Linked DNA regions of Lepisosteus oculatus. The protein of the gene in region 2 interacts with the protein of the main gene of each other region in a pairwise test. Links are inferred from orthologs where the notes say so. Each region holds a gene or a part of one and is shown on either strand. Other genes may lie near its edges. The genes, in order: pin4 and cep72.

Region 1 (17,364 bases), on a different chromosome or scaffold from region 2:
TGCGTGTGTCTGAGAAAATGGGTGTGTGTCCTTCAATGGACCGGGGCCTTTTGCCTTTTACCATGAGCCCCGAGGACCCAATTCACTGTCTAAAGGATAAAGAGGAAAACAAAAATGCATGTACAAATATAATATGCTTTCCGGATGGTCTCTTCTCCTACATATTCATTTTGTTTTGTACCCTTATCGCTTAAAGTACAATTCCACTGTGTTAAGGCTATTGGTTTCACTGTGCTCTTGCTTAGCTTTGTGCCACTTGTAAAGCTCTGTATCTCCCAAGTTGGGCTGTGGGACTCTTACTCAGCCATACCCTGGCTTCTTTTTAAGACATGATTGAATGAAACAGGGCTAAATGGGACAAAAGTCCTCCTCTCTTTTTCAGTCTTTTTGTTCAATGTGTATTTAGAAAACCAAACACCCATGTTTATAGTTTAACAGAAGGTACAGGCATTTAAAGCTGTGGTTCGTTGGCTTTTAAACGTATATTTGAGGTCAATATTTATAGGATCATCCTGAGAGTTATAATGCCAGCTTTTGAGTAAGCATTAACTGTAGATTTATGTGACATGTTAAATACCTTTAAAATAAAACTGGGCAGTGGAAGTACTCCCAGTTTACTGTAAACTTCCATCATCCTGCTATCGGATTGTGGCCGCTATTAATATGATTCTGTCAGACAGATGTGGGTTTTACCCACTGTTTTATCTTATTTCAGACCAACAGTGTATGCGTATTTATGATGGAGTCACTATTTTCAGTCCTCCCTCCCTCCCCGTCACATTCTTCCATAGATGTTTCAGTAGGATAAAGATCGGGGAACTTGCAAGAGCCACACAGATTTATCCTAGACTGTTTTTTTTTTTCCAGATTTTTAAGGGGATCATGATCACGATATCGCATAACTTTCAAATTAAACCCAAACCCCTCCATTTTATTAGCATTGGTCAAACCACTGCAGTGACATCAGTAGCATGCTGGAAAGTGCCTTCTCTAGACTCTGAGCATTTTTACCTTTCAGTCATTGAAAGCTGCACCTCCATTATGTGAAAAAGCAAATGGCATAGGAAATTGACATGAACGTGAAACGGGGTGGTTCCTGTCTTTCTTCTTCAGGGCAGGTCTGAGGTGTTCATCTTTCTCTTCTGTGTCCCAGCTCTGCCTGGTCTATAGTGAGGGACATCATGAAGACTGATGGACCCCAGGGCTTGTTTCAGGGGCTAACAAGCACTTGGCTGAGGGAGGTGCCCGGTTATTTCTTCTTCTTTGGAGGATATGAAATAAGCAGGACCTTTTTCACTAAGCCGGGAATGTCAAAGGATGAGTTGGGTGAGGCTGGACTACTAGTCTTGGAAATGAATGATCATCTCTTCAGCTGGAGATTTTTAATGAGTGTAAAAGCTATTGTGGCTTGCAGGGGTTAGGGAAACGGAGGGGAGAACACTTTCATAACAGATCAGAATACAAAGTGAAAATATGCTGACGGTGTACAAACACGCACACATCTCGTATGTCTGTCCTCGAGTTCCTCCTTTCAGATTTAGCTTTGAGGTGAAGCCTTCGATTGGGGATTTCCGCTGGGGAGATGTATATGGCACAAACTGTCAAGAGCCCTTTTTAAAATGCACTTCACCAAAATCCAGTTTATAATCCATTTCAAGAAAATTCTAGTTTTTTTTCTGGGGATTATTATCTTGTACTGTAATTCTTATTGGTAGGATAAATTTATAAATAGAAATGATTGCCTGTGAAAACGGGCTGTCAGTGGATTTTATTTTAAAGAGAAATTCACTTATCTCTTGCAGCTGAAAGGCAGGCAAGCCATGAAGACAGAGGGGAGTAAAGAAAGACTTTACTAAATGAAGCAAGTAGGGTCCCATTTAGCAAACCTGGATTGGATTACTTTGCCTTACAGAAACCGCCTTAAAATATATAAAATTAGATTTGCAAGACTTGTTTAGAGCTGAGATCTCAAACTCCTTTCCTGGAGGGTTCCAGTGCATTGTAGCTTTCTTTCCACCTGAGCTTTGTTACTTATTTGGTTTAATTGCTTGATGAATTGGATAATTATATAGCTCTTTTCCAGGCCTACAGGGCTTTAAAGACACTATACCTGGAAATAATTGCATGAATCAAGCGACTGTTGGTGGGGGAATTAAATGCAGTACACTTTGATTCATCTAGATGGAGAAAATAATTAAATTTGTCCTTAATTAAATTGAGAACACAAACTACAAAATTAAAAACAAAAGACATTGTGGCCCTCTAGGAACTGAGGTGGAGACCTCCTGGTTTAGAGAAGTAATCAATGGTATTTTTTATAGGTCTTAGTAGTTGTAAAATTAAGACACATTGGTCAAACTATACAGAACCATTTTAATAAAAAACCCACTTGGGCCTGTATTACTCAATGAAGCATCCAGGATGTAAATTAGGGAGTCTCTACAAGCAGGTTTAAAATTTTATTTTTTTAATGTAGTAAAATGAGGAGTTTGTTTTTTTATTTTTTATGCTGTCCTCTTAAGGTAAATTCCTGGGAAATGTTAACATAAATATGGCCCACGGTATTAATGAGTGGGTTGCCCCGTGTGGCTCATGGCGAAGTCTCACTGCCCCTCTGCCCTCCTCCATACAGATGCAGCACTGCTGGTTGTGAGTGGAGGCATTGGGGGGGCATTCTTCTGGCTTGCGGTTTATCCCATTGACTCAGTGAAGTCCAGAATCCAGGTTCTGTCCATGAGTGGCAAGCAGGCTGGGTTCCTCGTGTCCTTTATCAACATCCTTAGAACTGAAGGTAAGAAATATTGAGCTGCCTTGGGCAGACTTTGCTTGTTCCTCGCTAGCAGGCTTGAGTTGGTCAATAGCAGAGGACTACGGGGTACCGTGTCACATGGCAGCCCAGGGGGAGAGCCTCTGAGCTTTTTGTGGTCTAGGGAAGGTGATCCAGTCTATAGCTCACTCTCCTTCCTCTGGTCTTTCCACCTATATGGAACTGGAACCTGGTGAGGCAAGAATCTGCTTGTACTGTTTAATGGGCTGCTCAATGGCAGCATTTACATTCATTGCTTGAAATGGCTTTAAATGGCAGTTGTTAGCACTGGGGCCCTGGGTTCAATTCTGGACCTGTGATCCTATCTGCATGGTGTTTGTATGTTGTATGTTCTCCCTGTGTTCACGTGAGTTTCCACTGGTTGCTCTGGTTTCACAGTCAGACGTATTGGTACAAGTAGGTTTGTTGTCTATGGGGAAAACTGGTCCTTGTATAAATACAGTATGTGCATGACTGTTTGTGTCTGGCTGTCCTGCGATGGACTGACATCCTCTCCAGATTGTGTCCTTTGCTTGCCGGGATTGGTTCTGGCTCCCCTGCGACCCCGTAGTGGATGAAGCGCTTTGAAAATAGCATAAAAAGTTAATCTATCCAAAGGCTACTGTCAAGAGCTGCAGAGCCCTTGGTCAAGTCCAGCAGGTTTCTTGCATAATCATGAGATACTTTGTTGTACAACTAAAAAACACAAAGTGGTAAAGAAATTGTTGAAATATACAAATCACTGTACTCTAAACCGCAATCAGTAGCTGAATGTTCATTGTTATGAAATGTTTATGATGTACAACTCACTGTCTCAGGGAGGCTTCCTAAGGATAACATCCTGGTTTCTGATTTTTCCCTCTCCTGTCCTCTGGTAAGTGTAATAGGATCATAAAGGCACGTTCAGAGACCGCTTCTTCAAGCAATCTCTCAGATTTATGGAATTCTACCTCTACCACTGGCTCACACTGATGTGCACTTTTAAGTTGTATGTTATTTACGTTTGTTGTTTTTGCTGCTGCTGCTGCTGTTCTGTGTTTAAGTTTAGTGTTTCCTTAATGCCTTTTAGTTGGAACATGCATGAAAAATAAACTGAACTGATTACCTGACAGAGCACATTCAAAACTTTCTGAGTGCTTTGTTCTTAGGTGAGTTGTAGGGTGATAACCAGCAGCCCTATCACCCTGCAACTCGCAACCAGCAACGCACTGAAGCTAAGCAGGTGTGAGCCTGGTCAGTACCTGGATGGGAGACCTCCTGGGAAAAACTAAGGTTGCTGCTGGAAGAGGTGTTAGTGGGGCCAGCAGGGGGCGCTCACCCTGCGGTCTATGTGGGTCCTAATGCCCCAGTATAGAGAAAGGGGCACTAAACTGTAAAAAGGCACTGTCCTTCGGATGAGATGTTAAACTGAGGTCCTGACTCTCTGTGGTCATTTAAGATCCCAGGGTGTTTCTCGAAAAGAGTCCTGGCCAAATTTCCCAGTGGTGTTTACCAGTCATGGTCTCCTAATAAGCCCCATCTATGAATTGGCTTCATTACTCTGTTCTCCTGGCATTGTGTCTCCTCCCGAATGAGAGCTGATATGTGGTGAGTGTACTGGTGCACTATGTCTGCCGTTGCATCAGAGGTGGATGCTACACATTGGTGGTGGAGGGGAGTCCCCATTACCTGTAAAGCATTTTGAGTTACCTTTTATAAGCAATTTATTAATAACAATTCTTCTTCTTCAGGTGTTACAGCCTTGTACTGTGGACTGACCCCCACTGTAGTGCGAGCATTCCCTTCCAATGGAGCCCTTTTCCTTGCTTATGAACTGACCAGAAGAGCCCTGAGTGACAAAGTAGCTGCTATCTGAACACATGCCTGGTTTGAACTGTTTTAATTACATCTGCTGTCATATCAAAATGTTTCTGCACAAAAAAGTATTTTAACACTTTTATTGTAAACTTTGTAAATTTTGAAATGTCTGTGTTATTCTATGCCTTGTTAACTGTATTATTGATGTTTTGTAAAATTTTACCCTTTTTCAGGCACTATTAGAATCCTAAAAGGTATAAGAATTTAATTGGGGTATTTGATTTTGATTAAGATTTGTGGAGCCACAGTTTTCACATTCACTTTAATAAGAGGCAGGAGCAGAATTTCATGGTGCTGTGCTCAATTTGTTTTTGTTTGAATGCAACAAGGCTTTAACACTTCATTTCTGTAAAAAAATGTCTTTTAACCTAGCCGTGTACTATTACAAAAGTGTTTTACACAAAAAATAAAGTTTTTAATTTAATTTTGTGACTCTTTCTATTTCCTCGCTGATTTATTGAACTGCATCATTATGTTCTGGATTTTGTTCAAAAAATAATTTTTATAACCATATATAGGATTTTTCTTTTACAGTTTATTACTCAAAACATTCACTTTGTTAAAGGCACAGTTACCTATAAAGCGCCTCAAAGCTGGGTTAGAATTTTTACAGTTAAGTAATTAGACCAGCTGTCTAACAAACTATGAATGCACACAGACAGATTTAGAAACATTTATGAACTAAACAAGAGAACTATGGTAACCAGAGAACACCCATGTAGCTGTAAGGAGAACATGCAAACTCCACATAATGTGCTCAGGCCAGAATTATTTATAAAACTGACTAGCAGTTCTTGAATTAATTTTGTTTAATGGTTAAAACTGTAATCATGTAATCATTTGAACAGCTTTCTCTGAAGTGTTATGGAAAATGAACTGAATATACAGCTTTAACAACAAAGTTCCTAACTTTGGTTTCACTTCACATTGTATACAAACCATTGGTTTTAAGTTTGCCGCTTGACATTTTACAGTATGTGGTTTTTGAGGGCAGGATAAATATCATGTGCCCTAGTTTTTTCCACAGTGGGATGACCTGCTATCATCAAAAACCATCATCGCCAATTTTATAATTAAGTTTTATGGAAAGAACACCAATTAATGAAACCAAAGATAAAGAAATACAGTTTTCAATGGTAGTCTTTGACTAAAAAGAGACATCTTCAGATATTGATTTAATCCGGTCAGTTACGAAAGCTCAGGTTACTTAATAAATATTTTTCATTTTTAAATTGTTGAACAATGCTTCAAAGAATACTGCTTTAAAATCCCATCTTCCTTAATTCTTTTCAGCAAATATTTTTTGTTATTTTATTAGATCACTAACAATAAGTGAAGGAATTATTCTGGCCTTGGATTTGATGGTTTGCTTAGTAAACATTGGCTGTTGTGCCATAGGCATGATTTAAGTTTACACACCCTGTTGGAGCTATTTCAACCAGAAAGTCCTCACCTTTGTTTTTAGGAACCATTTTAAAATGTCTTTTCAACATTGTCCTTTTAGCCTGAGCCAGGTTTGCCTTATAATTGAAAAACACAGCTGTCGTTGTGTTAAAATAATTTATCAACTTCTATATGCAGTGAAGGGATCGGGGCTGAGGTAGATCACACTCGGCAAGAACATTTATATAGATGACTTTGAAAGTAATGAAGGGCAACAGAGCCAAGGAATTGGGAAGACTAGACTATCCCACGCTATAAATTCCTGAGGTCTCCTTCAGTTAAATTGGAGAGACTGTCATTAGAACACACACAACATGTAGACTTCAGCACACTCACCCTAGTATCTATAAACGAGAATGACCCTGAAGGGAAAGAACACAACATACAGAGCGGAGAAAGTGTCAGTGTTTTAGACAGCCAGGGCATTCAGGCTGGACAGAGATCACATTGCTGTGGTCAGTGTGGGAAGAAATTTAGTCAGTCAGGCAGCATTAAAATACACCAGTGAATTCACACAGGAGAGACCATATTGCTGAATTCATTGTAAGAAGAGGCTCACTCACTTAGAACAATTTAAAAACCTTCTGCGTATTCACAAAGGAGAAAGACCATGTTTGTGTAACCAGTGTGGCAAAAGCTTCAGTCGATAAGAAGGTTTAAGAACACACAAGCGAATTCACACAGGGGAGAGACCATACAGCTGCAGTCAGTCGAGACAACTGAAATACCGCCAGCAGATTCACAGAGAAGAAAGAGTATACTGCTACCGTCAATGTGGGAAGGGTTTTTTGTTGTCAAATGACTTGAAAAAGCACCAGCACACACACTCTGGAGGGATGTACTGTTGCAGTCAGTGTGGGAGAAAATTCATTTGAATGGAAAATTTAAAAGTTCACCCACAAACTCACAAAGGACAGGGCTCATACTGCTGCAATCAGTGTGGAGAGACATTTGGTCAGTCAGTACATTTAAAAGCACATAACCAAGGAAAGAGAAAATGAACGTGCACAAAGTGTGGGAAACGTTTTAGAAACTAAAGCAAACTGAAGAATAACTAGTACTATCAGTGGTGATAGTGGAGACTCTGTAGCACTGTCACCAAGTCGTGTGATATCGGAGACAGATTATTTTTGCTATAACAGATACAAGCCTATTTTATGATTATTTAAATTAATTTTTATTTATATTCTGAATTTATTAATTTATTCATATATACATTTCTTAACCTGTGTTCTTAGAAAGCATGTTGCATCTGTGCAGTATTATTAACATTTCTCATCAGATTGAAGCCTGTCCTTAACCTAGGAGGTGACAATGAATTCTGTCTACCTGTCAGTTAAACTGCAGGTCTCTCCATTCTGCAGCATGCCATGGTGCTCAGCTCAATGGTGCTAATAAACCATTGAACACTTGCTCAAACCTGTGGATATTTCTTATCCATGTGATTGTGTACCTTCACAAAACAAATAATTGCAGTTTTTTCGTAGGTATATTTTTATTACTAGGCAATTTGTCCTTAACTACAATTGATGTTTTAAATTGTGCACATTCATTTACAGTATAATTGCAGTAAATTTACTATCTAAATAAATGCTTGCTTTGAGAATAAATAATTTTTTATGTGAAATAGATTTTACGACTACCGTGCTTCATTCATTGAAATTCCATTAATTACACAAAGCACACACGAATAGAGCAACTCGCAGGCGTTTTCAAACCTCCTGGCTAGGTGGCGCTAGTGTGATGAGGATTATATCTGGGTACATACACACCTCTGTAGGCTTTCACTCTTTGGTTGTTGTGTCGCTGCTTTACTGCTCCGGCGCAGGAATTCTAGCGATGCTGTGCGACTTGTCGCGATTTATTGACGTTTTTTCCTGCTGGGCTCACGCTGATTAACCTGGGCAGAACTGTTGCAGTCTGCAGACTTCTGTAAGTCTGCGTGTTATGAGCCTTGTTTTTATTTTAAATATTTGAAAGTTTTTCGAATTGAAAAAAAAAAACGGACAATGCCGCCGAAACAGGGAAAGGCTGGCAAGGGAGGAAAAGGTAAACAAAGTTGTTGATTTATTATTTTTATTTAATCCACACGGCATTATTAGCAAGAGACTACTAGTTGGGGGCTGCTGCAGTCGAGGAGGTCCGTTACATTTTAAATGAAATGTTGGTTACTCGCGTTTTTTTTTGTCAGGTATTTTAAACATTTGAATTTAATGTGATTTAAACTGTTCTTAATCTATGCATACACCCCGTTTGCTAAATCCCTAGTTTACAGTGTCCACATGTGAAAATACGTTATATGTGTGTCTCCAGCAAAACGTATGTAACTGTATTTTTCCCCGAAATATTATTCTCGGGAACTACATAATACTGTGTACTGTATTTAGATCACATGGTCTGACTGATCATTTCTGTGCTTATACTACTCAAATCTAAGTACATACAAACTTGACACGGATGTGGCTGTCTCTGCGCTCTCCAATACCTGGATGACTCAAACGTAAAGTACGACAGGACTGACGTAATGCTTCTTGCCGCCTTCTATTACCTATGTAAAGCCACTGCAGGAACCCCATCTGTGGATGGCACTGTACTTGAATTTCAGTCTAAGTTGAAGAACGTCGGGGTGATATTTATTCCCGACTTGACGTTTGATCCACATTTGCAACATATTTAAAAAACATCAAACATATCAGAAATATCACCAGGCTATGTCCTGTATTGTCCCTCGCTGTAGCTGAAAAGCTTGTCAACACATTCGTCTTCTGTAGCATTGATTACTGTATCTAAATCCACACTGAACAAACCTCAGAATGTCCAGAATTCGTCAGTCGGAATGCTGACCACGTCATATGCAAGTGGTCACGTTAATCTGGTCCTGATGTCCTTGTACTAGTGGCTTCCTACTGTATAAGGTTTTGTGTCAACTCATGCTCAAAGGCTCTACATGACTTGGCCCCTCAGTACCTGTCTGAATTATCATCATCATCATCGCAACCTTTCTTCATCTGACTCTGGGTGTCATACGGGTGACAGGGCCTTCTCTTGCTATGCCTCTGAGCTCTGGAAATCTGTCCCCCAGGATATCAGAGAATCATCTTTCCCGAGCGCTTTCAAATCCAGACTCAAAACCTTCTTCAGAAGGGCTTTTATTTAATTGATGTCCGTGTCGGCCCCTTTGTATCTTCTACTGCATTCTAAACCTTTCTCTTTCTTTGTGCTAATTTTGGGATCTCCTGTCTTTGGGACCTCACATGGTCTCTCAACACTACCTGTCTGATCAAGAAAGCACAACAGCGCCTGTACTTCCTAAGACGGTTGAAGAAGGCTAAGATATGTCCCCAGATCCTCACTAACTTTTACAGATGCACTACAGAAAGCACACTGACAGGCTGCATCACAGTGTGGTATGGCAACTGCAGTGCTGCTGACCGCAAAGCCCTACAGCGGGTGGTGAAAACTGCCCAGTCCATCACTGGGGTTACCCTCCCATCTATCCAGGACATTTATGACAGACGGTGCTTGAGGAAAGCTCTAAGCATAATCAAAGACCCCACACACCCCAGGTACAGACTTTATGATCCTCTACCATCTGGAAAACGGTACCGGAGCATTCGGGCCCGGACTACCAGACTCAGAGACAGTTTTTACCCCCGCACTATCAAACTGTTAAATTCCCAGCCTCTCTCACTCTCACTCTCACCTCACCTCTCACCTATGATCTGAACCTCAACAGTGCCTTCTTCCTTTCTTTCTTACCAAAAACCCAAACACACATTGAAAATCTACCTCTACCATACATGTCAAAAGCACACTCCCCATAATTTCTATCCCTTTATTTTATTCTGTTGATGCATATTTTTGCACATAACCTGTTAACTTTTTGTTGTTTTGCACATTGCCTGTTGTTGTTTTTTGCACATTGCCTGTTGTTGGTTTTTGCACACTGCCTGTTGTCTCTGTCTTTCTTTTGCAACACAATTGTATTGTTGTTGTTTTTTTTTCTCTTTGTACTACTTATGTCCGAGAGCTAGCTAAATAGCATTTCGTTATACCATATACCATGTATATGAGTATAATGACAATAAACTTGAACTTGAACTTTGTTACTGTTTTTGTTGTTTTAACTCTTTTCTGTACTTTTCCTGTAAAAAATCACTGTGAGAAGATGCCTTTAAAGTGCTATATAAATAGTTGTTTTTTTTACCACTGTATCTGTGCTGGTGTCTTTCTGCCATGTTTAGGAGCTGGCGCTTCTGGAGGTGGTGACTCTGAGAAAAAAGAAAAGCCGCAAAAAGGGGGAAATGCAGTTAAGGTACAGTGGCACCGTTGAACTTTGTGTCAGACATTTGTAAAGTTTTTCATCTCCAGTGGGGCATTAAAATGGACTATTATAACTCGGTGTTTACCTCCCTAGCGTCAAATTGCCAAAAAGCATCCAACTTTGTTAACAATGGAATGCTTCAAGAATAATCTTATGATTATGAAATCTTGTGCAACGTTGAATAAATATGTTACGAAACACTTCATGGGATCTTGTGATAGTGTTTTCAGATGTTTGTATTGGGAAAGCCGATTGGCAGTATAATACCAAAAAGAATTCCCTTTCTGTACTTTTCTAAAGTTTACTGTAGTTTGCATGTTGATCCCCTCTCTCACACACACACACTTATAATTTATTTCAGGTCCGACATATTCTTTGTGAAAAACACAGCAAATCAATGGAGGCCATGGAAAAACTGAAGTCTGGGGTGCGGTTCAGTGAAGTCGCCTCACAATACAGTGAAGACAAAGCGAGACAAGGAGTAAGTGAGAAATGCATCTAGATGAGACGGGCTAAAACAAATGACAGATTAGAATACCTGTAGACAGCAACAGAGTTCCAGATTTTCAAGTTTCAGATTTTTTTTGTACCTGAGTACAATTAAATGCTTACTTTATGTGTGTTTCCACACATAACAGATGGCATCTGAAATTGTTGGAGACCAGAACATAAAAAAAAGCATGTACGCCAAAAAGATAGTGGAAAGCTGCAGTGTAAAATACCAGTAGCAGCCGTATACATGAGAAAAGTAACAACTGTAATTTTCAGCAGCATTCAATTAGTAGTAATATGCAAAAAACAGGTAGTGACAGTGTTGTGAGTTCAGTCCAAAAATAAAGGGGTATAAATGGGAAGTAGGAGAATTAAGGGGTGGTATTAAGAAATCTTATGGCCGAGAAAGACGTTTTCTTTAAAACTTGAGGTTTGGGCTTTTATACTCCTCAATCTTTTGCCACAAGATAGAAGAAATGGCATGCCCAGGGTGGTGTTGATCTTTAATTCTATTATCTGCCATTCTGAGGCAGTGTGTACTGAAGATGGGATGAATGGAGAGGAGTTCCATTCTGTAGCTTTTTTATGGTTGTGTTCTGACCAATTACCATAACAAACTGTAATGCATCTGGTGAACATGCTTTCTCTGTTGTACATTTGTGAGTGATTGTGAAGACATACCAAATCTCCGGAGTTGTCTAAGGAAATAGAGGTGCTGGTGTGCTTTTGTGATTACTTCGTCTGTGTCACGGGACCAAGTCAGATTATTGATGAAGTGAATGCCCAAAAACTTGATGCTGCTGACCATCTCCAAAGCAGCTGTGTTTATATAGTGTGGCCTCCTCTCTGCTTGCCTAACCTAAGAGGATAGAATGCCCTTAGATTATAATAGTATAGAAAGAACAGCACATAGATTATAATCCCTAACTGAAATAATAAAATCACACATACCTTTGCTACTATATGTGAAAGTACCAAATTAATAAATAGTTTTGCAGTCCATGAACATTATATTTAGTAATTTGTTTTATCCCAACCCCTTCTGCACAAAAAAAGTAAGCATGACTAATTAAAGGCTTTATTCACTGCACTTTTTGTAACTGGTCTTTTATTAGTCATTGCCTCTCACCGCCACTATAAGAGTCTAATGCTAACTTCCCTTCAGTGCATGGGAGATGTTAATTTTTTTAAATTAATGTATTGAACATGGCTAATTTAATATGAACCAGATTCGGTACGTTCAAGTCACTTCTCAGAAGTGGGCCAATTCCACCATACACTCTAAAGAAAGAAAGGTGAAGTCAGTTAAATTGAATGGTTCTCAAATTTTGGAACAGTATCTTATTTAGGGTGAAAAACATGTAGATGTAGGAGACCAAGCCATTTCTTCACTGTGGATGAGTAATGGGTGAAATGTTTGGAAGAACCGTAGTGTCAGGTGTTGTGCTGAAATTTGTGTACTGTGAATTTAAGAATCAATATTGAAGCTTTTCATATCCAGTTCTCACTCCAAAAATAATTTCCATTGTGAGCTCTGTTTATTTACAGTGTGGCAGCATTCTCAATACTGGCTGTTCAGATGTGCAATAACCAGCTCTTAGTTTCTTATCCCTTTAGTTGCCTCATTGAAAATGTCTTTGCTTACCTAATATACCTGTACACAACAGTCTGGTAAAAATCATCTTGTAAATTATTATTGGTGAAATTGCAAAAGGAAACAAAAACTGAAAAAAGAAAGCCGTTTTACAAACTACAGATTAAAAAAGTCATACTGATCCCTTTTTGTTGTGAGGATGAAGCAGAGTCTTCACAGAATTCGCTTGGTCTTTCCTATTGATGGGGTTGTATGAGCAGTAAATGTGCAGAGCACATGATGGAATTGAGACTCCCATATACACTAGTAAAAGCTGAATAGACATTGTCCCATTTACATATAGATAAGTGATGTTGTAAATACTGGTTTTTATTCACACTTTTGGTCACTGGATGGTGTATTTTCTCAATTTTATTATCTTCTCAATTGTATACAGTACTACAGTATTTTAGTGTTAAATTTACATGAATAAAAATCTCGTATATTATGGTAAATTATGAATAGCAGTAGCCATTAACATTGTTTCAACGTCTCTATACCTTAGAATCGCTTTCACATAATGTTATGGACACAGTTTATGTTGCTCCTGTATAATTTACATATTCTTGTTTTTTCTTTGTTACATTTTTGGTAGGTACAGTATAATCATGGTCCTGTGTTTGCAGTGCAGATTACTGACAGTTTTCTAAGTTGAGCTTTTTGGTTAGGAATTCTGTCCAGTTGTACAATAAATGCTGAGCTGGTCTTTCCTCTGGGTGTGACAGGGGGACTTGGGCTGGATGACCAGAGGCTCTATGGTTGGGCCTTTTCAAGATGCAGCTTTTGCCCTGCCGGTCAGCACCATGGACAAGCCTGTGTACACAGATCCGCCAGTGAAGACCAAGTTTGGGTATCACATCATCATGGTGGAGGGCAAGAAATAATGCTTCAGGATTTGAAGAATCAAGCTGGGCATCATCCCCTTGTTTTTTAAAACATTATTTATTTTTGGGAGAGGAGTTCAGAACTCATAGAGATACTGCTTGTTTGATGTAGAAATCTTAATACCATCATAAAACTCTCAAGAAGTGGTTACATGCAAGCATCACGATGAGGAAAACGTTCATAGCTGTTAAAAAACACAATCTGCTTTGATTTCATATGCAATTGTAAAACACTTTGGATACATAAAGAAAATGAGTGTGGGTAGGGATTGATTTGGAAAATAAAATCCCAGTAAATTCACTGCTCTTTTCTTGTACCAGATTGATTTTGAATGGGAAAAGGTGACTGTGTTCTTTGTGCATAAAATGGGAGGACTTTTGTGACAAATAAAAATAGTTTTGCACTGCATTTCATATAACAGTAAAAAAAAACAGCTTGTGTAGATTTTCCATGACTTTCTTCGTCCTGTTAAGAAACAACTCCTGGAATGTTTGGGGAAATTTTTTTATATCTATTTTGTATAGTGCTCTCCTTGATGTCTTGAGAGGGCAGCAAGATCAAAACTTGTTTTTGCTTTAGAGTCAAACAGTTTTTTTTTTTACCTTGGGATTAAAATGAAAGAAAAGTACAATGTATGTTTTATTATTGGGTAATTCCATGCATATATTTGATTTATTGGAACAAATACATATGATACCTCAGTTCTGGGGGACCATAAGTAGTGTATGGAGACACATTCACTTTAAGTAAAATTTAGAGTGAAGGTCAGTATTGGATTGCATATTCGTGTTAGTACTTCATTACGAGCAACATCACTTATAACATGTTTAATTATCTTTTATAGTAACATAGAAAAATCAGACATTAGAGGCTACATTTTGATATGATATGACTACATATTCATATTCTGTATTAGTTCTTATGAAATCTGCCTTTTAAGATATTTGAGTATTTTATTAAAGTTATTACTTCTTGGGAACTTTAAAACCTGTTCTGACTTTTTTTGTCAACAACAATATTTTTTTTGTTTTAATGTATCTTTATTGGGATTTTTGCAACAGTAATCTTTTTAAATAAAACATGGACCAGATATATAATATGGTCTAATATATAAATCACTACTTTTTATGGTGTAATGATAGTTTGTGGTGTAATGATAGTTTCCAAGAGAAACATTACTTAATATTGTGCATTAAAGAGAGGCTATTAAATAGTTTTTGTTTTACTACATACTACTTATGCGACGTGCATACTATGGAGGTACGTATTCATAAAGATAAAAGGGAAAGCAGATGTGTCTAACATAATTAATAATTGCTTACACTTATATAGTGCTTTTTCTGGACACTCCACTCAAAGCGCTTTACAGGTAATGGAGACTCCCCTCCACCACCACCACCACCAATGTGCAGCATCCACCTGGATGATGCGATGGCAGCCATAGTGCACCAGAACGCTCACCACACACCAGCTATCAGTGGGGAGGAGAGCAGAGTCAAAGATGTGGATTATTAGGAGGCCATGATTGATAAATCCAATTGGAAATTTGAACAGGGTTACACCCCTACTCTTTTCAAGAAACCCCTGGGATTTTTAATGACCACAAAGAGTCAGGACCTCGGTTTTACATCTCAGCCGAAGGACGGTGTCTGTTTACAGTATAGTGTCCCCGTCACTATACTGGGGCATTAGGACCCACATGGACCACAGGGTGAGCACCCCCTGCTGGCCCCACTAACACCTCTTCCAGCAGCAGCCGTAGTTTTTCCCAGGAGGTCTCCCATCCACGTACTGACCAGGCTCACACTGCTGAGCTTCAGTGGGTTACTAGTTGTGAGTTGCAGAGTGTTAAGGCTGCTGGCTAAACTTAAGCTCCTTATGTGAATTACATAATGGAGGAAGAAATCGAGTTTACGCTTCATACAAAAATGAGCTTCGTCTGATTTTATGGGAGCTCTTGTCTGCTGCATTCTGGCAAACATACGGTTAACTGTGCGTTTGTACCAAGTTTCTCTGCCTTTCATGGATCTGGGTCACTTGCAGAAATAAAGAGATTTTCGTTAATCTTTTAACGTCGTTTTATATTTTATAAGCGCGTGAAGAGAAACAGTTTAGTGAGAGATGAAAAATGAGGTGCAAAAATCCGAGAGCTCTTTTCATGAAAGAAAGCTCCTCCAAAACGCATTTATTCTGCATTTCACGTTACCGCCTCCTGCAATGCTTTAAAAAAAAGGTTAGCGAGGCTCGTTGAAGGTGTGGCCATTATGTCAGCGGCTATTGGCTACAAAAGGATGGAGTCAGATGACGTCCTATTTCCGGGTTTTCTCCGGAAGGTGAGAGGTTACTTTCGGTCAAACATTTCTTCGTTCAGAGAAAGAAGCAGCTCTTGGCCGGCGTGTCACAGGTAAGAATTAAAGCCGGCTGTCACTAACGCTCTCGTTAGTTTTACTACTGTCATGGCTAGTTACTGTGTATTTGCTGTATTAGCCTAATATACCTAACTGTCAACAATATTTAATATATCCGAAAAGCTAAGCGAAAGTTATCTCACGCCTTTACATTAAAAACATCCAGTAGTCCTAACGTGCTTGCCTCATGAGGAAGCAAAACGTGTCCGTAACTGTACTAGTTCCTCTTGTGTGCTGGGACGTGTCTACAGCGAGAACTAACGTGTTTTAGCGATTAGACAGGTAGGTCATATCTTGACTGGCTTTGTGAAATAAATAAAACGAAAGTGATGGGAGCACTTAGTTAAACCCGATTTACCAAAACTAGTTGTATGCGTCTCTCTTAATGTGATTTTCGCTTCCGTGATGTATTTCCATCATTAGCCGCTGCAAGAAGAAAAAGCGCCACGTTAAGAATAACATACCGGAAGCATGATCAGGACCTCGCCTCTGGCAAGAGAAGCGTGACAGTTTCAAAATAATCAATGCTGTCCGCGCAGTAGTCTGAAATTAATAGTTAGACAGGTGATTGTTGTCCACGCATTGTTTTCTAACGCTCATAGCTGTAGATAGCTCTAGGGGATCAGAATACGGTACCCAACAGAAGTGATAGTGTTTGCCCTATAATGTTTTATTCATCTAAACGGTCGTGATGAAAAGGAAATAGATTTTATCGAGAATTGTAAGGAATCGGTAGCTTGATTCGAATTTTTTACGGGTTTTTCTTGGGGAAAAAGGTGACCATTGTTGATTTTAAATGAAATCTTTGGTATGTTAATGAGCGAAGACGATCTGTAAAGACAGTGTTACCAGATAGTTTTACCCTTTATCTTGCGTGCATCAAGTGACACCGGGTCCAGTCTGCGATGTAGGTGATAGCCATATTTGAATCCCTTTTTTTGTGTTCTATAATATAGTCGGATTAGGAATATTGAGTCAAGAAACGTCGCTTTCCTGTCGGTAAACACCGTTTTCCTGTAAAAAGAACCCTTAAAATTAGTTGATTGGAATTTGTTTTATAACGCTTTCGATTAAAAATTAATCTCCTGCGTGAAGTTAATACTTTGCCCTTAGATCTCGGAAAACACACGTCATGTGAAGGTCTATCATGGTACAGTTTGGCAATGCTCTTGTTTTAGATCTAGTTCGACTTCATATAAAGGGGAAACTAATGACTAAAGACAGAAAAGCCTTTCAAAGACCATGCAAACTCTAAGATAAACTGTAAGAGTTTTTTTTAAAAAAAGACAAGTACTACGGCGGCCTGATCAAGCGCCATTAATTTCGAGACGTATGAGACAGCTCTCCTTGTCACAAACCCACCCCCTACGTTTAAATTAAAAGCAGATCAATTTACGAATGACAGTTGCTGTCAGACAGAGCTACCCTATCAGTTGTTAGTTGTTAGCTGAATCCAGCAGCACAGTAATAGAACGAAGACATCCGACGATGTCGTTTCTATAGTGACGATGGGGCG
Region 2 (17,066 bases):
TGCACAATATAAATATAAGTGTATTGCACATGTTCCAGCCATATATTGCACAAAAACGGTTGTAAACTGGAAAAAGAAAAAGAACAGATGTAACAGATTACTGTTCAGTCCAGAAACAGGTCACTGTCAATGTTGCCTCTGGCCAGACGCAAGGTGGATGTGTTGTACAGTCTTATGGCAGAAGGCAAGAATGACCTCCTGTAGCGCTCCCTGTCGCACCGTGGATGGATCAGCCTATTGCTGAATGTGCTTTTCATTTCTACAAGCATGTCATAGAGGGGATGGGAGACGTTGTCCATGATGGCCTCTAGTTTGGACACCATTCTCCTCTCAGCCACTACCTCCAGGGGGTCCAGGCCAGACCCAATTACAGAGCTTGCTCTTCTGATGAGCTTGTTCAGCCTGTTAGAATCCCCTGCTCTAATCCCAGAGCCCCAGCGTACCACTGCGTAGAAAATGGCACTTGCCACCACCGACTGATAGAACATATGTAGCATTTTACTACACACATTGAAGGACCTGAGCCTCCTCAAGAAGTAAAGTCAGCTCTGATCGTTCTTGTAGATGGCCTAGATGTTCTTAGACCATTCCAGTCTATCGTCGATGTGCACTCCCAGGTACTTGTACGAGTCCACCATCTCCACGCCACTCCCATGGGTGTAGATAGGAGTAGGTTTGACCCTTTTCCTCCTGAAATCTACCACCAGTTCCTTCGTCTTTGTAACATTCAATTGCAGGTGGTTCTCCCCACACCACTCCACAAAGCTGCTGACCAGTCCTCTGTACTCTTCCCCCTGCCCACCCCTGATACATCCCACAATTGCAAAGTCATCTGAGAACTTCTGCAGGTGGCATGACTTTGAGTTGTACTTAAAGTCCGAAGTATAGAGGGTGAAGAGGAACGGAGAAAGAACCATCCCCTGAGGAGCCCCTGTGTTACTTACTACCTGTTCAGACACAGATCTGAAGTCTCACAGACTGTGGTCTGCCTGTCAGATAGTCCTTTCAGAGTCCTTAATCCTTTGCGGTGTGCCTGTGTGTAGTCGTCTGCAGAGGTTTCTGTTCTCTAGTATAGAAGAGAATCTTTTCTTAGTTCGGAGTTATTGTTTGTTTTGCCGGTGAGAGGAACACATTCGGTTCTAACCTGCGGGCGTGTGGGGGTCTTAAAGCGCAGCCCTGATTAGCATCAGGTGTGGTAGCTACGCATTCCCACACACCGCGGAGTGGGGAGTGCAGCGGGAGGTGAGTTCCACTGTCACAAAAGCAAGATTATATTTTCAATTTATCCTTAAAAATCTTTATTTAACAGACAAGACTGTTTGGGAGCCATAAAACAAAATTCCAATTGCAGAGCCATTTAAGTAGTACAATCTGTGCTCCATTTTAAACTTGTCGCCATTTGAACTTGTCTTCTTCAAGTTTTAGAATGAGTAAGCTTTCTCTCTACTAATCAATTATTATTATTATTATTATTATTATTATTAATAATAATAATAATAATAATAATAATAATAATAATAATAATAATAATAATCTGTGCATTGCTTTGTATATTTTCTTTAAGGAGTTTCCCCTCAGAAAATTAAGGATAGGTTGTGCTGTAGATATAAATGAATACACTTTCACAGTAATTGTAAATCTCCCTGTACTGTTTAAATTAATAATGTTTAAATTAATAGTGCAATGTTGCTCAGAGGTGTGACCTCAGGAGTACACAGTAATGCTTCATTAAGGATATGAACCTGCTACATTCCAGTATCAATTACATACTTCTAACTACTACTCCATACTACATCATATACTATATTACTGTACATGCAGCAGATGCACTTCTATAGGACTGCAGTGTTTTTTTAAACTGTATATTTTAAGTGTTCTGTTTGCATTCTACTTTTCCACATACAAAATAAAAAGAGGTAAAGAACACAAACTTTGCAGAAATATTAAGAATTGTCATGTAATGTAACATTATGAGCCCACAAACAGAAAAGGTATTTTCAGTCTTCTTATCTTCTTGCGTGACCATAGGAGATGAAATTCAAAAGATGGTTTATTGTCAGTTGCGTGATTCATTGAGGACGTGCCCAGCTTTTAACCTCCTGAGGTCAAGTCAGGCCTCAGTAGGCAAACGCAAATGACAGAAGGAACAAAAAAAATGTGTTTACTGTAATAATACTGCATATTCTACCTAAAAGGGGATGCATGTGGTTTCCCTTTAAGAAAGTGTATTAAAAGTATTCACCAAAGTATAATTATCCTCATTGTGCAACAAACATTTTGTATAACGGATGTATATTGTTTTCAACACCAAAGAACTGATCTCTAAAACTCTAGATAGAGTTAGGATGGTTAGTGTGCAAACAGGATTCAATACTAAATCAACATTGAATATCTGACTCACATCTATACAAATTACTAGATCTTATCATACCATCTAAACAAATCAGAATCAAACAGTACAACGATGTTATTTTGTTTAAATGGAAACTATTAATGGTGAAATTAAATTATGTCAACAATAAGATAGCTGATGATAGGACAAGAAAGATCTTTCTTGTGTTGATTTTCATCCTGAAATATTGCACAAGTGCACCACTGCTTTTAATTCATGTTAAGCTCTACAGTAAATGTACAGGACTATTGTAAGTGTAAAACAACAGATCACAAATACAAAAGTGAAGTATGTATTTTTCAGGCTCAGCAGTATTCCTTTCCGACTGCCAACTTCTAAACATCACAATGGAAAAATACTCTGCAGGCTCATCTATGATTTAAATGATAAAAACAAATTTAGACACAATGAAGGCTGAATACAACTTGAAAGTCAATGTATATACATTTCCTAAATAATACAAAGGTCTTAATGTCAGATTCTTACTATTTGATCTAATGCTGCAGTAGTTATGCATTGTAGATATGTTTATGAACTTTCTCTCAAGTTACCTTTCATTGTATTTTTTTATTATTGAAAGTCTGGGTATGTTGTATTAAGTGCATAAAATGGTTTCTGTTACACCACTCAGTACTTTAAGTAGCTGAGTAAAAATCAGTTTTAATCCTACATGTGGATTCTGACCTCACACAGAGGCTTTGTGCCATTAGTTTCTCCCCCAAGCACATGTGTATTTTGTCATGATAAACTAGACAACAAGCCAACCAGGCAGTATGAGAAGAGACTGAGAAAGAAGGAAGAGACATGTTTCCTGGTAAACTATTAGAATGTTTTTAGTTATTTCTTCACAAAACAAATACAATGTTTTAACTAAAATTGGATATACTAAGTGTGATCTCAATATCTTAATTAGTAGCCCTAATATTAGATTTATTTAAAATTTACATTGCAACTGATCATGTACAGTATATGGCTACATTCTTTGGATTAACTTAAAAGGACCTGTGAAATCAAAGTTGTAAAGTATAATACTGAAAACAAAACTAAGTATGCTGTGAGTAGTCCAGATATGTTTTAGTACTAACATTATGCTAGGCTTTACAGGCTGTTTGTCAAGAATAGAACACTAATCTTTATTTTACTTTAAAATGACATAAATGAAAGAGCAGCTAATTATTTTTCTGTGTCACGAAAGGCTTACAACTGCTTGTTTATAAAATGACCTCAATCTTTCCCAACCTTAAAGGGATGAAAGAGATGAAAGAGATTGATGTGTTTTGAGAAATTCTGTGTTTTTGTGTAACAGTTTGGGAGCATTTGTTTGTCATGTCTATTGCATTACAGTTTGGCCACTAGAAAAAGTCCAATCAAACTATCTGAAAGTTTTACTTTAAAGTTTTTAAATCACTAAATATGGTTGCTTTTATCAATATATGGTACTAAATATCTTTATTAAAACAGGAAAACTTAATGAAGCTGAAGATGGATTTGTAAAAATGGCAAGTATCATCTTTATAAATTCACAAGGAATATCAACACCGAAAAAGGAGGTAATCACTGAGAATAACTCAACTGAATATTACTGTATTGATTTTTTTCTGCTGAGTAACCATTAGCCTGGAACACAGGATTCTCCAGGCATACAGAGCACACAAGGTAGTAGTTTCCAAGATGCATCATGGGCCTGCAGTATCATACTGATATCATTAAAAGTGTTTTACAGTAGGTTGGGGATATTCAAACAAAATTGTGAGCATTGCAGTTTTAGAGAAACATAATAGAAAACCTCTATTTGGCTCTCTCCTATGTCATTTATGGAAGATAAGGTGACACACAAATTATTGACGTTTTGCTCATCTCACTGTTCCACTGCTGTAATGAAATATTTTACTCATAATGACTAACACATTGAGCATACTTTAAAAACTCCAAGAGAGACTGCTTCAGAACCTCCGGTGGTCTGATAGTCTGCATTCTTTGTCACTATAGACCTTGACATACTGAATGAAAGAATTAGGAAGGATGCTTTCCCTTGGCAAATTGGAGAAAACAATTCATAGGAAAACAAGGAATTAATACAGGATGGGGAAGTTTATACAATAGGTGCTGGTTCAGTAAACATGGCTTGTTTCTCCTTCCTCATTCCTGCATTCAAGTTCAAGTCCTCATTCAAGTTCAAGTTCAAGTTCATGTAACAGAACACTCCTTTTTGGATTGCACTGTATTGTGTTGTTAAAACCCCTATCCAACACACAGCATAATAGATGGTACAGAAGAGAGATTGCACCCAGTGACAGAGGTTGACGATCGTGGGCCCTGGTACAAATACTTTTGGTTTCTCCCACTCCTCAGACTGTACTTCAAGCACCATAATAAAGTAAAATAGCGAAAACACTCTTTGCAGTCATGTCTTCTTCCTGTCTTTTTCCATAAAACTTTGCTTTGTAATTAGCATATTTAAATATCACAATCAATATATTTCGCATACAGCTGCAGTATAAGTGGTATAAATGCAATTGACTCATGAATGCTATAAGGAAATAATTATTTTCCAAAAGATATCATGTTTACCTCCCTATGTGTCATATTGTGCATTAAAAGTGGGTATCATTACAAAGATGTAGGGAGGCACTTACTGTAGATTCATGGTGTCCCATCCTTGGCCGGACACTGGTGTAAAATAGACTTTTCCCAGAAGTCACCGATTGACACCTATTTCCAAGATCCACTGACAAAAGTATTTTTCTAGGACACAGTCTTTCTGCAGAGAATGATTGAGAAAATCATACTGTCTGATCTAGAAAGAGAACAGTTCATTCCATTTCACATGTAACAATGGCCTATAAATGATCGTTGTGCACTGTGCTGGTTTGATTGCAATGGAATCTATCCAATTAAGATCCTGTTAATATCTTTTAAATACTAGAAGACAAAATTAACAAAATATGACTCAGCAAAAAAGGAGAGGGCACCCACCATACTGTACATTTAGAGCACGAGGATGGAACTGAAACATACAGTACATACTGTAAATGTGAGAACAATGTTGGACATGCACTGCTGTGTAAATGTCTTAGATGTTTTGCATGTTTTACTCTTCATACTTAGTGTTTTTCCTTAGAGGTAAGACTATGGAAGTATTTTAATGAAGTGATAACTATTGTGTTTTCTGATAATAAATAATCCTTATACAGCAAATATGTGTTTTGTTGTATAAAAACAGAATTTTAGATTCATGGAAGCATAGAGAGCAACAAATCAAGTTAATGATAAAGGGCACATACAATATACACATTCATATACAATTTACCTTGATTTGCTGTGATAGCGTTTTTTAATACGTTGTTCTACAGTATGTGAGTCATAGACTGCTAATTACCTATTCTCACCCAAACTAACCTATGTTTACTGAGACTCAACCTTGTTTGATTGGGACAATTGAAGAGTATGTTTTCTATTTTATCTAAGAGATTTAGTCTATATTTGTGCCTTTGAGGAAATATCCCGGAAGTTACTTTTGAGGGATATACCTTCCTGATTTGGACTTCTGAACACCCGACCACAAGCCAGCCATCAGAGTGATCTCAGTCACCCTCAACTCAAGACCTCCTGCTATGCACCTAATAAAAGAGAACTGTCTTTCACCGGTTTCCTTCACACAGATTTCAAAAGGGCAACTTCTGGTTAACCATGATATATTATGATTCTAAATGTCACAGACTCACCTACAGGCTGTGTCCCAGAATGACGGAAGTACAAAATTTATAAGACGGATCATATTACAGCAAGTGACTTGGAGAAATATGTTTTTCAAGATTTTCTTTCAGGAACGTCATTAATTGTCTTTAATCATAAACCTGGGTTGGGCAATCATGGGGGTTTTGAAGGTTTAGTGAACAAAAATAAACTGAACAGATAAATATAGACTTTGATTTTTACTCAATCCTGTGAAAATGGGTCTTTTAGAATATCAGTTCTGGGTTTTGACCCAACACTCAGCACAAACCTTTCCAACCATTGTGAAAATAGTAAGTGAAATGACACAAAGACTAAATACACATTTCAGAAGAGCACATTACTTAAAACCTTCTTGGTGCAGCCTTTTTGAAAAAAGAGATGCACTACAATGCTTTGTGAAGTGTATTGTGAGACGTCTGCGATGAACAAGTGACCGGAGCTATAAGAGTGAGCAAGATTTCCCGTGTTCAAGACCACTCAAGACAACCACATCAGTAGAAAGCCTTTCACAGAGCAGGTTTTATATTTTAACATTTTGGAAAAAGAAACACATTTTCAGAATCTTTACTTTTTCGTTACCATGTTTAGTTTAGGAATGTTCAATGCTGAGGAGAAAAATATTTCCTGTCATTTGAAATAAATACCTACAGTTAAATGTTAATAGTAAACTTCTTTCAATAGTTGCTGACTTACAGTACTTGCTTCTTTCTTCAGTTAGAAGTATGTCAATTAATAATCTAGCATTATTTTCCTTAATTAAACTTGACATCTTGGGATTACGTTGATCAATTTGAGGATGCAGGTTGTGAATGCTGAGAACAGAGACATTTACAATTGAAGAACTTCAAAATACAGTGCCTTTCCAATAGTTTGGTTATTACTCAGCGGATCTGGAATAAGGTGAAAATTGCCAGAACAGTGTTGAAACAAAACCACCAAGCATCATGCAAAGATTACAGAGAGATCTTATAGATCTTCCAGTAAGTGGGCAGACTTAACCTTTAACAATGACCTGAGGATATTCCATGAGAAAACATTAAAACAATAAGGTTACCTACTGTACAGTAAGTGCCTAAAAGTAAAATAAGAATCGGTGTCATGTGAAACTCCTTATGAATCTGCAATTACAGTACAAGTAATGTTAGCTGGAATTTAATGTCAAGACACATGATCCCTGCAATGGAGACAACTCTATCCATCATCACAAAGCCACTAATTCTTGGTAAGGGCTGTGGCAACCCAAAGTATACAGGAAACAGGAGCTCAATCACAAAGGGTGCCTCGTGCAGCTCTCATGGTAACAAATTTGAATACTTAACAAAAAAGAAAACACAATATACAAACTGCAGTGACAAATACTTAAAGCAAGGTGACACCATCTTGGAGTAAGAACACTGTCATTCAGGCCACAGGACAAACTCTCTTTTCGACTTTATTGTAAATAGAATAATAAGGGTACTTGAGTCTTTTAGTCCTTAAATCTTGGTAAAAGGATAATTTAGCAAATGTGATGTCCTATTATGAGTGCATATTCAACAGAGTCTTGACTACAGAAAGACTGGTATCTTAGATGTACATTTAGTTCTGAAATACACACTAACGAATTCCATGTTCTTTAGCTTAAAAGCAAATGAGACATAAGAACTGCAGCTCATTGTCTGATGTTAAACCCGTCAGTAACTGTACAGATGGACACTGTAATTCACTGTGATATCTTACAGCCAACATAGTTCAAATGTTACAAGATGATTTCCAAAGTAATAAGGAAGACTCCAACTTTACAAACTGCACCTTAATCAAAGTAAAATTGAACTGTATTTCTTTAGAGTGTAGTGTTGTGTCTTCAAAGTTCATTCTCGATTCTTGGGATAGGTCCAATCAAGAGGTCTCTTGAAAATAAAAAGAGATGTGAGAGTATGCAGGCACATTAACCATTGTCTGAAGAACAGTATTGATGAAAGAAGGAAACACAAGCATGGTGTGCTTTATTAATGAAGAGTCACTGTAAATGATCAACCAAAAAGCAAAAAAAAATCAGATATCAGAAATTTCATTCCAATTTCCTGATCCTTTCTAACATATCTGAGATTGAATTGTCCATGCTGCTTTGTAATGAATTTCCCTAATATTTAATCAATTTTATCTGAGTACACTGAGTTTATTTATCTTTAACAAAGTTATTTTAAACAATAACAGGAAAGGGATTTCTTCACTTGAAGTTGTAATTATTAACAAGCTCTTCTTTGCTTAACTTTCTTATTGATCGAAGCAAGAATAATTCAATAATAATTTGACAATTGTTTACTAAGTGCTGAACTAAAAAACATTCCCTGTTACCCATTGTTGGGGTTCTTTGCCTCACTGTTAAACCTGCCTTATGAGTTGTGTCAGTTAAATATCATATAATTGGATATAACCAGGATTTCTTGAATGACAGAGCTTCCGCAGAGGAGAGTACAGCTGTCAGTGATGCAGTAAGGTGATTCTATACGTTGAAAAGTTTTTTGGAGAGGAAATACCATTTTAGTTTCAGAAGCTCCTGATCTTTTAAAATCGATTGTAATGTGCCACAGTAAACTAATAAACTGAATATGAATATCTGTAGATTGTTAGTGCTCCATGTTAAGAGAAATGCTTTAAAAAGAGGAATATTTGTACATTAATCTAATTGTCCCATTTTGAGTGCAAAGTACTCTTCTTTTTCAGAAACTACAGAGCATCTAGTGTGCCCATTGCATCAATTAGACAAATTGTTTTCAGACACAAATGTCCATTTTACTGTGGATATTAAACATTATCTAACAACAATCTATTTATAGAGCTTTGAATGGGAATGAAACAATGTAAATGCAGCCCAGAAAGAAATATATTAGACCTGCTATGTTTGAGATATAGAACACTGAGTGCTAGAAAGTTAAATTATCTAAATACCTCTTCCTTTTTTGTTCTGGGAAATTACTGGCAGCAATCTCTGAAGTGAGAAAAACAGTCTTGAAACAACATTTCCATAGCTCCTAAATTGTGGTTTCATGTAAACTAAATACAGCCATCCATTTCGTTATTGCATTTAAATTCGAACTTCGAGAAGCCCAGAAAACTAGATGGACTGACGCATTTTAAATAAGTTAATGTCATCATTGTTTTAAAATATTGTGTGCATATTTACTTTTACACGCGTATAACCATTGCACGCTTCTCACATTTATCAGATGGGAAGAAGATACCGCCATGACATAACATTTTCGCGCTCCAACTTAAGTCGGTTAAGAACAAAGGTGTTCGGACGCCAGATGACCTGAGTGAAAAGCCGGCCGGGAAAAACAGGTTATTTCAAAAAGTAAGCGCGTCCTTTTTATTATTCAATATAGTGTTCACTTTCCATGCTGAATAAACTATGTTTATGTCAGCTCATAATTAAAAGGTTATTCTTCAGGCGTTTGTTAATATTCCAATATTTTCTGATATGAAATGAGTATCCATATGAAGTGGCAGCAGCAACAGCAAGATCTGATTTTTTTTTATTTCGATGTACTTGCTTTTCTGTAACCAATTACGAGGTTCTCAGAGTTATTGTGTGCATCTTCACCACTATTAAACAACAATAATCTCGCTGACACAAAACTGCTTTTTCTAGACTTCAGTCTTTTCAGTGGGATAAGTGGAGCTGCTGCAGCTAAACAGTGGCTCCTTCCGTCAGGGTGCAACGCGCATGCTCGCCCCGGTGAACCCCCCGACGTTTGAAAGGATGGCGGCGGACGGTCTGCTGATAACTGAGCAGTGGATACGAGAAAGGCTGCAGCTGCAGCACAGATGCTTGGGTAATCGCCACCGTCTCCCTGTGTCGCAACTGAAACGTGAAGAACACACACTCGAACGTTTTCCAAGCCTTTGCTAGGCTACTGCGTTGCGCTGCGAATTGTACGTTAGTTTCAAGCCCCGAAACGAAATTCTGTTGTTTCGGAGAGGTTGGATTGCTTGTTGTCTGCAGTCGTGCGTCAGGTGTACGGGTCCGTGTAGTTTGCTCTTCTTGTGCATCATAAAGCACGTTTCTTGGTTTCGATGCTGTCTTCTCTTACACAAAAGAACAGGGGCGCTCTTCTTTAAGGAGATATCAGTAAAAACCACATTGTCCTCGCGAAAATATTGAGTTTGTGTGGCTGACGCTTTAACTAGTGACTTACATTTGGATTTGGGTCACTTACTGTATACTGTAGCTGGGCATTTTAATGCTACAGTCTAAGGAAGCACTGTACGTAGGACTTCAACCTACATACAAATTGTAGAAGGATAGTTTGTCTGGGTACCAAACCATTAACCTGCTGTCGATTAAAAAGCCAACGTTTTACTGAACGAGCAAGGACAGACGTTTAATCTAGATGGGTTCCGAATATCAGATGAAAAGGCGCATTTTCGTTCAAAGAAAGACAATGCGTAGAAAAGCTCGATGTGTAACAACTGTGTACTATTTGAACTCGATGTATTTCTAACATTTTGCAAATCATGATCTTTTAAGAATAATCTTGACTACAAAGCATGTAACACTTCGCAAGTCCCAGCTCAACGTCCTGATCGTTTTTGAATGGGTACTAAATGACAAGTATTGTTTTTTAATTAGGACAGCATACAATCTTAAGTATCCGTTTTCATGAAGTTTCAACCCACTAAACAAAGCATTTTACCTTATTGTGGTAACGAGGAGAGGACTACAAAATTAATAGCTCATTGACGCAGTGTGATGGTTCTGTATATACTGTAAATGTGAAAAATGTTTTATTTTTGTTGTCTGTATCTAATGTGAGGTAAATGAAGATCCTCAAAAGTCTACTGTTTAGCTCCTCAGAGTCTGGGTTTGGGCAACTTTTAACAGAATTTTGTTAGGCTGTATGTTTGCTTTTTCTGTAACAAGTGAGCTTGTTTCTGCAATCATTATACCAATGTACACATTACTAGAAAGCATATTCCTGGGATCCCAGTATCATGACATCCCAGTACCGTGGACTGGACAGGACACAAGTACATACCGTATACTGGGCACACACAAGCACACAGTTACTATTGAAAGACTGCAATTATTACATATTTCCAAAAAACTTTCAAATGTGTTTTCCTTTTCTTTAAAAGATAAACTTCCCCCACTACTATTAGAAAAATAAAATACCCAGGAAATTTTCTTTCTCACATAGTTTTGCAACTCCTAAAAGCAGTACTACTTTTTATAGTGCGTTGGGTTTATGTACTGTAACCTTTACATCCCCTTGTCCAAGAAAGCTAACTAGATTTTCAAATGGCTACTACATTCTTGTTCAGTCAAGGTGTGTTACATGACATCCATGATTGTATGATATGTGAAAAGTTAATTGCTGTATCTTTAATATAAGCTTTTCTTTTTAAGTTTTTTCTTACACAAGTCTAATATAGAATTTCTTTGCTTCCAGCGGATGTCAGATCACTGTCTCTTCCAGGGTCCTATGACGTGAAGATCGCCCATGTGGGAAACTCTCTAAAGAACTTTGTTCATTTAAAGAATCTCGACCTTTCTCGGAATGCGCTGGTCTCGATAGAGGTGAATGGAAGCTAATGTTTGTCCAACTATGGCTTTATAATATAGTGCAGGGTGTCCTGTCGTGGTCCTGGAGGTTCGTGTCTGCAGGTCTTCGCTCCATCTTGGCTCTTAATCATCTCTTTATTGGCTTCTTAATTTTAATCAATTTAACAGCTTCGCTGGGCTCTTCAGATGTTTCAGGAGAGCTACAGAACCCTGTCACACTGGCCCTCCATTGCTATGAACGGGCACCTCTGATTCAGCTTATTAAAAGGAAGAAGAATATAAACTCCAGTGAATACAGATTAAGTACTTACAAGGGTATATTTGCATTAGATCAGTGGGTTAAAAACTGAATATAGATCAAGTCCCCATCTAGATCTCTGTTTCAGGTTACAGAGATAAATTCCCTTTTCCCTTTTTGGTGCAAAAGGCAGTTACAGTACATCTTAAAGTATTTAACCACCTGCATTGTGTTGAAAAAAACGACAAAAATCTTACGCATTATTGAATGTCAAGCTATAAGTAGTAACTAAGTGACATATCAAGGTCCTACGTGTTGATATAAACTTGAGTTCATCATAAGATTTAGAGAACAATCGGCTCATTTCTTGACAGATCACAGACTAATCTGCATCTGTCCAAAGTTTGCTAAAAGTATTATTTTTGGTTTGCTTTCTAGGAAATATCTTCTTATAAACATAATAGCAGTCAGATGATATGATTAGATGAATTACTCAGCATCAGTGGGTAGAGTATGAAGATAAGAAAATTATTTTGGGCATGTGTTCTGCTCATCATGTGTGAATCACAAACCTGTAAGCAGAAGTATGAAATACGTCTTCTTCCTGGAGTAGAAATCACTTTACAGGAATGAAAGATTTACAGGGTACCTGCCCCAACTTTGTCAAGACGCTTCTGCTTTCAAAGTACAAACAGCAGTATGCTGAGTGTCCCGATTCTGCTGTAGGGAAAGAGGAACTCTGAAGAACTTTGCTCAAGAATACAACATTTGTGTCCCACCCAGGATTTGAACACATAAATCTCAGGTCAAGAGTTCAGAGCCTTAACCACTACTCACTGATCGTAATGGGCAGCAACTCAAGCCAGCAAATTCAAAGAAATAGGTGGCTCTCTTATCTTTCCTCCCCCAGTCTTGCAAGCTGTGTCTGCTTCCAGAGTGTACTGTATGTTAGGTGTAAGTTATTGTAGGTCTATGTAGTAAGTAATGTTAGGTGATGCCTAGGAATTTAATACAAAACAAGCAGATAAAATACATCTGAACAAGTGTCTAAGACAGCTCCAGTAAGCTTCCTTAAAAAACAGTGCAATGTTTAGAAAGGTTGTTAGAAGGCTATATATATATTATTTTGCTCTGCTCTTTTGCCCACACTGCAGTGGCCTGTTCCAGTCTAACCCCAGTGCTGTAGTTCACATGAGCGAATGAGATGTTAGCAGATCAGTCAATCCTGTACTGTGTTCTGGAGGTCAGGGCCATTCTTCTCCATCTCACCTAGAGCCTATTTAGCACAGGTTTCTGTGGTTCTAAGATGCAAACCAAGTGGATTTTCACTCTCCTTCTTGGAAGGGTCTGGTGGTGTTCTGCCATGTTGACATTCCAACAGCAGATTAATCGCAGTGTCGCAGCTGTGAAAGAAAAATAAACTTTCAGATGTGCTGCTTCACCACTGAAAAGGAGACATTTATAGGTCATTTCAAAGACGTGGTTTGTTCATGTTTTTCTGCAGGGGATACAACACTTAAAGAAGCTTGAAAAGCTTAACCTCTATTACAACTGCATACCTTCCTTGAAAGCCATCTTTACCCTCCGGAAGCTGACTGCATTGAAGGAGCTGGATCTCCGGCTCAACCCTGTGACAAAAAATGACCCAGATTATCGTCTCTACATTGTTCATATGTTGCCCAACCTTAGAAAACTGGGTAAGTGTTTTGACCAATCACTACTGTCACTTGCAAGAGTAATTAATATCATATCACCAGTGCTTGATTTCTTTTCAGAGTTGTGTGTTTATCCTATAACAATGGCTAATACTGTAGGTGTTTATCCTATTAGCCATTGTTAGACTCTGTTGTCTTTTTCTAGACTATTTTACAAACTGTTAACATTTTTAAAATTACTAGCGTATATGCTGTGTTTAACTTTTACAGTGTCACGGCTTCAGCATATAGTCAAATTAGATGTGCAGATAACAGATATGTTACTGTACACCTACAGTAAGTTTAACAATTGAATCTATTTCAGTTATTTAGAACCTTCTTGCAATGTGAGTGGTGATTCACCTTTCTCTTTTAAAAGCCTTGTGAATCTATGACAGATTTGATTTCTCCTTTGTTTGATGCCTTGATTTTTCCTCATTCTGTTTTACTATTGCATTGGGCTGTTATTCCCCTAGATGATCACCCTGTGAGGGACAGCGAACGCAAAGCTGCTGTCATGCATTTTACTTCAGAGCAAGCTTTTGAACACCAGCACGGTTCTTCATCTTCCTCAGAGTCCAGTGTGCAGAGGTGCAATACTTACCTCTTCGCCTCACTAACCTTGCTGCATGTGTGCTGTATGTGCACAGTGTTTGATAATATCTCTTCTGGTACAGGTCCGGTCTTAAGAGGGCATCCTCTGTAAGGCTCTTCTGTAAAAAACGCTCTGTCCTTGATGAAGATGACGAAGCAGTGCTAAACCTTGTTGCCAAGAGTAACTGGGACTTGAGTAAACCTGCCGGCCTGACGGGTTCCACTAAGAAAGTCCCAGAAGTCGAGCTTTATCGCTTACGGGGTAAGATGTCTAATTAAGAAGTGGACATGTACAGATTTAGCCATCTAAACCAACTGGTCACCTCCTTTGATTTTGGATGAATGACCCGTATGAAAATGAAAGGGAAACTTAATCAGTGTGATTACACAGTAACGCAGAAATTAATTTTTGTGTTTGTGTTCTCATGAATGAGTTCAATCTGGTTTCACCTTTAGCAACTGAGCAGTGTTAATACATTGGTGTCCACACCTCCCTTTTCAGTACCGAGGGGAAAAAAAGAAGAAGAATTTAATATATTTTCTTACATGTTATAGATGAATGTAGTATTTAATAACAGTATTTAACAGAGGTAGGCATACCAGTGCATTCATGCAACACGTTTGCCCTGCAGCTTTGATCTGTGATCATTTAAATGTAATATGCTAAAACCACAGCTCAAAGCCATCCTTACATTCAGCAAACACAGTACTGGTTTTAACATTTTATTTCTTGAATACAGATAAACTAGGCTACCAGTCAAAAAAGCCACTTGAAAAGTGATAATGCTAATTCCACTCAGTCTGTGTTGCCAGTGAAAGCTACAACTGTGGATTGTGCTGTGGGGGAACTACTTCCCCTCTGGTTTTGCACATCATTTGTCCCACCTGGACGTTCTGGAGACATCTCACACCATTCCTTTTCTACCTGCCTGTTCTTCACACATTTGTGGTGAAGACTCAACAGTTCTCTGACAGTGCTTTTCGGTGCTTTTTGTGGCTCTAGTCATCTGTACAGTCAGTCACGTGTTGCAAGGCGTGGTAGCGTCTGAACTCAAGACAGAGCAGAACGGCACCTCTGAGGGGCAGGCTGGACCTGTCTGGCAGTTGCAGAGTCCAAGATCTGATCCCATACAGATTTAGAGTGAAAGCAGTGCTTTATATTTTGGATTTCAGGAGTTTGGGTTCAAAAAAGATTTGTTGAGCCTCTTAAGTATTAAATATTAAAATTAAGTATTTATTTCCTCCCACAACTAGGTCACTGACTTGACAAATGCTCATTGCGATATCCTTTAACCCAAGGGACACCTAAAGGGAAAATCTTCCAGTTTTTACAAGAGACAGATCCTTGTAAACAGGATCTGCCATCATACTAATACATGAAATGTGTATTTCAAACAAACAAATTAAAATTGTATGTATATCCTGTACATTCAGCAAAGTTATTGCAGTTTTTGCAATTGGAAAAAAATGCAGTTTTGTGGCATTTAATTAAATTAACAGTGTTTCTGCACCATCTGCTGATGGGAAAGTGGAAGCATTATTCTATTTTTTTTTTTTAAATGAGATTTTAAACCTGTATTGCTTAAACTTTTTTTTTCCATTTTGAAGCAGCTGTAATTGTAACCTGAGTAGAAGTTTGGAGATCAGCATGATTGGGAATAATTTTAACCTAGAGTCCTTAACCAATTTTACATTGGCTTACATTAAGTCTTTAATTACACCATTGTTTCATATAATTGCCTTTTGTACTTTTCTGTACAAATAATTAACTGCTTCTTCTGAGAGCTTCTCTTTTAGGATTTGAAAAGATGTTTTGTTGTTCCAGGTTACCATGGGCAAGATACCCATTATTCGAATGGCTGTCATCCTTCTGAAGAAAGTACCATGTTAAAACAGGTGAACACCCACTGAACAAACATTCCCACACATATTCCTGTTCCTTTATTATGTTTAGATTTGTAATAAGATATATCACGCATTGCTGCCTTGCAGCTCTGGAGGTCAGGACTTAATTCCTGGGTGCTATCTGCTTGAGGCTTATATAGTCTCCCAGTGTTTGGGTTTTTGCTAGGTGCTTCAATTTCCTCCCACAGTCCAAAGATATAATGGTGGGTTCATTGGCTTTTGTAAAATTGGCTGTGATCTGAGTGTTTATGTCTTGCAAAGGACTGGTGTCCTGTCTAAGATGTATCCTGCCTTGTGCCTATTGCTTGCTCCTCCATGACCCTGTATTGGATTCAGCAGTTTGAAATGCAGTTTGGTACTTTGTAAAGCTGTTCAGGTGTTTTACATTGATTTTGAGGTAGTCGCTTTTCCTGGTCAGTCCACTGTGTGGTGAATGAGAAAATTAAGTCGTAGTACACAGAAAAATGTTTGTTACTCCATAATTAAAAAAAAATGGCACAGAAAAGGATGCACATTTAATTCCGTTTTATCAGCATACTCTGTTTCTCTGCATATAGTATAAATCCTTTGCCTTTTACTAAAGATTTCCGTGGAGAGGAGCACGTATGAGTTCCATTAATATTCACTTGTATTTCTTGAGACGGAACATGAAAAAACCTTTTTGTTTTCATCTTCTGTTTCAACACGTTCTGTACAGGTTGTTTCCAAATCATTAACAACTTTTTAATGGCAGCTTTACATTCTTGAGTGTTCTTTTGATCTTAATAATAATACTACTAAGTTGCACTAGAAGTATTCTGATTACTTGGACTGATGTGTTAACTTTTGCCATTCAGGATTCACCAACATCAATCCTCAGAAAGCAACCGGAAATGAAAGAAAGTGAGTCCTCATTACTCTTCTTTTCCTAATAACATTCCCCATAAGCATAGGTGTAGAAATGCATATAGAAACTGC

What was found.
Region 1: the proteins of cep72 (region 2) and pin4 interact in binary tests that used the Homo sapiens proteins (3 or more experiments, as listed by UniProt). The two-hybrid records come from large-scale screens. The link is inferred for Lepisosteus oculatus from reciprocal best matches to the Homo sapiens genes CEP72 and PIN4.

What each region holds. Positions count from the first base shown.
Region 1 is NC_090703.1:41,082,628-41,099,991, forward strand, and holds pin4 (peptidyl-prolyl cis-trans isomerase NIMA-interacting 4), read left to right. Parts: upstream 1-7,948; 5' UTR 7,949-8,115; coding exon 8,116-8,155; intron 8,156-10,350; coding exon 10,351-10,421; intron 10,422-10,791; coding exon 10,792-10,911; intron 10,912-13,280; coding exon 13,281-13,439; 3' UTR 13,440-13,740; downstream 13,741-17,364. Other genes in the region: mitochondrial ornithine transporter 1-like, read left to right, coding at 1,154-1,326, 2,633-2,791, 4,537-4,661.
Region 2 is NC_090705.1:17,236,856-17,253,921, reverse strand, and holds the start of cep72 (centrosomal protein of 72 kDa), read left to right. Parts: upstream 1-9,372; 5' UTR 9,373-9,467; intron 9,468-9,764; 5' UTR 9,765-9,839; coding exon 9,840-9,948; intron 9,949-11,565; coding exon 11,566-11,693; intron 11,694-13,420; coding exon 13,421-13,613; intron 13,614-14,086; coding exon 14,087-14,201; intron 14,202-14,287; coding exon 14,288-14,466; intron 14,467-16,029; coding exon 16,030-16,100; intron 16,101-16,643; exon of another isoform or gene 16,644-16,753; intron 16,754-16,945; coding exon 16,946-16,991; intron 16,992-17,066. UniProt on the Homo sapiens protein: Involved in the recruitment of key centrosomal proteins to the centrosome.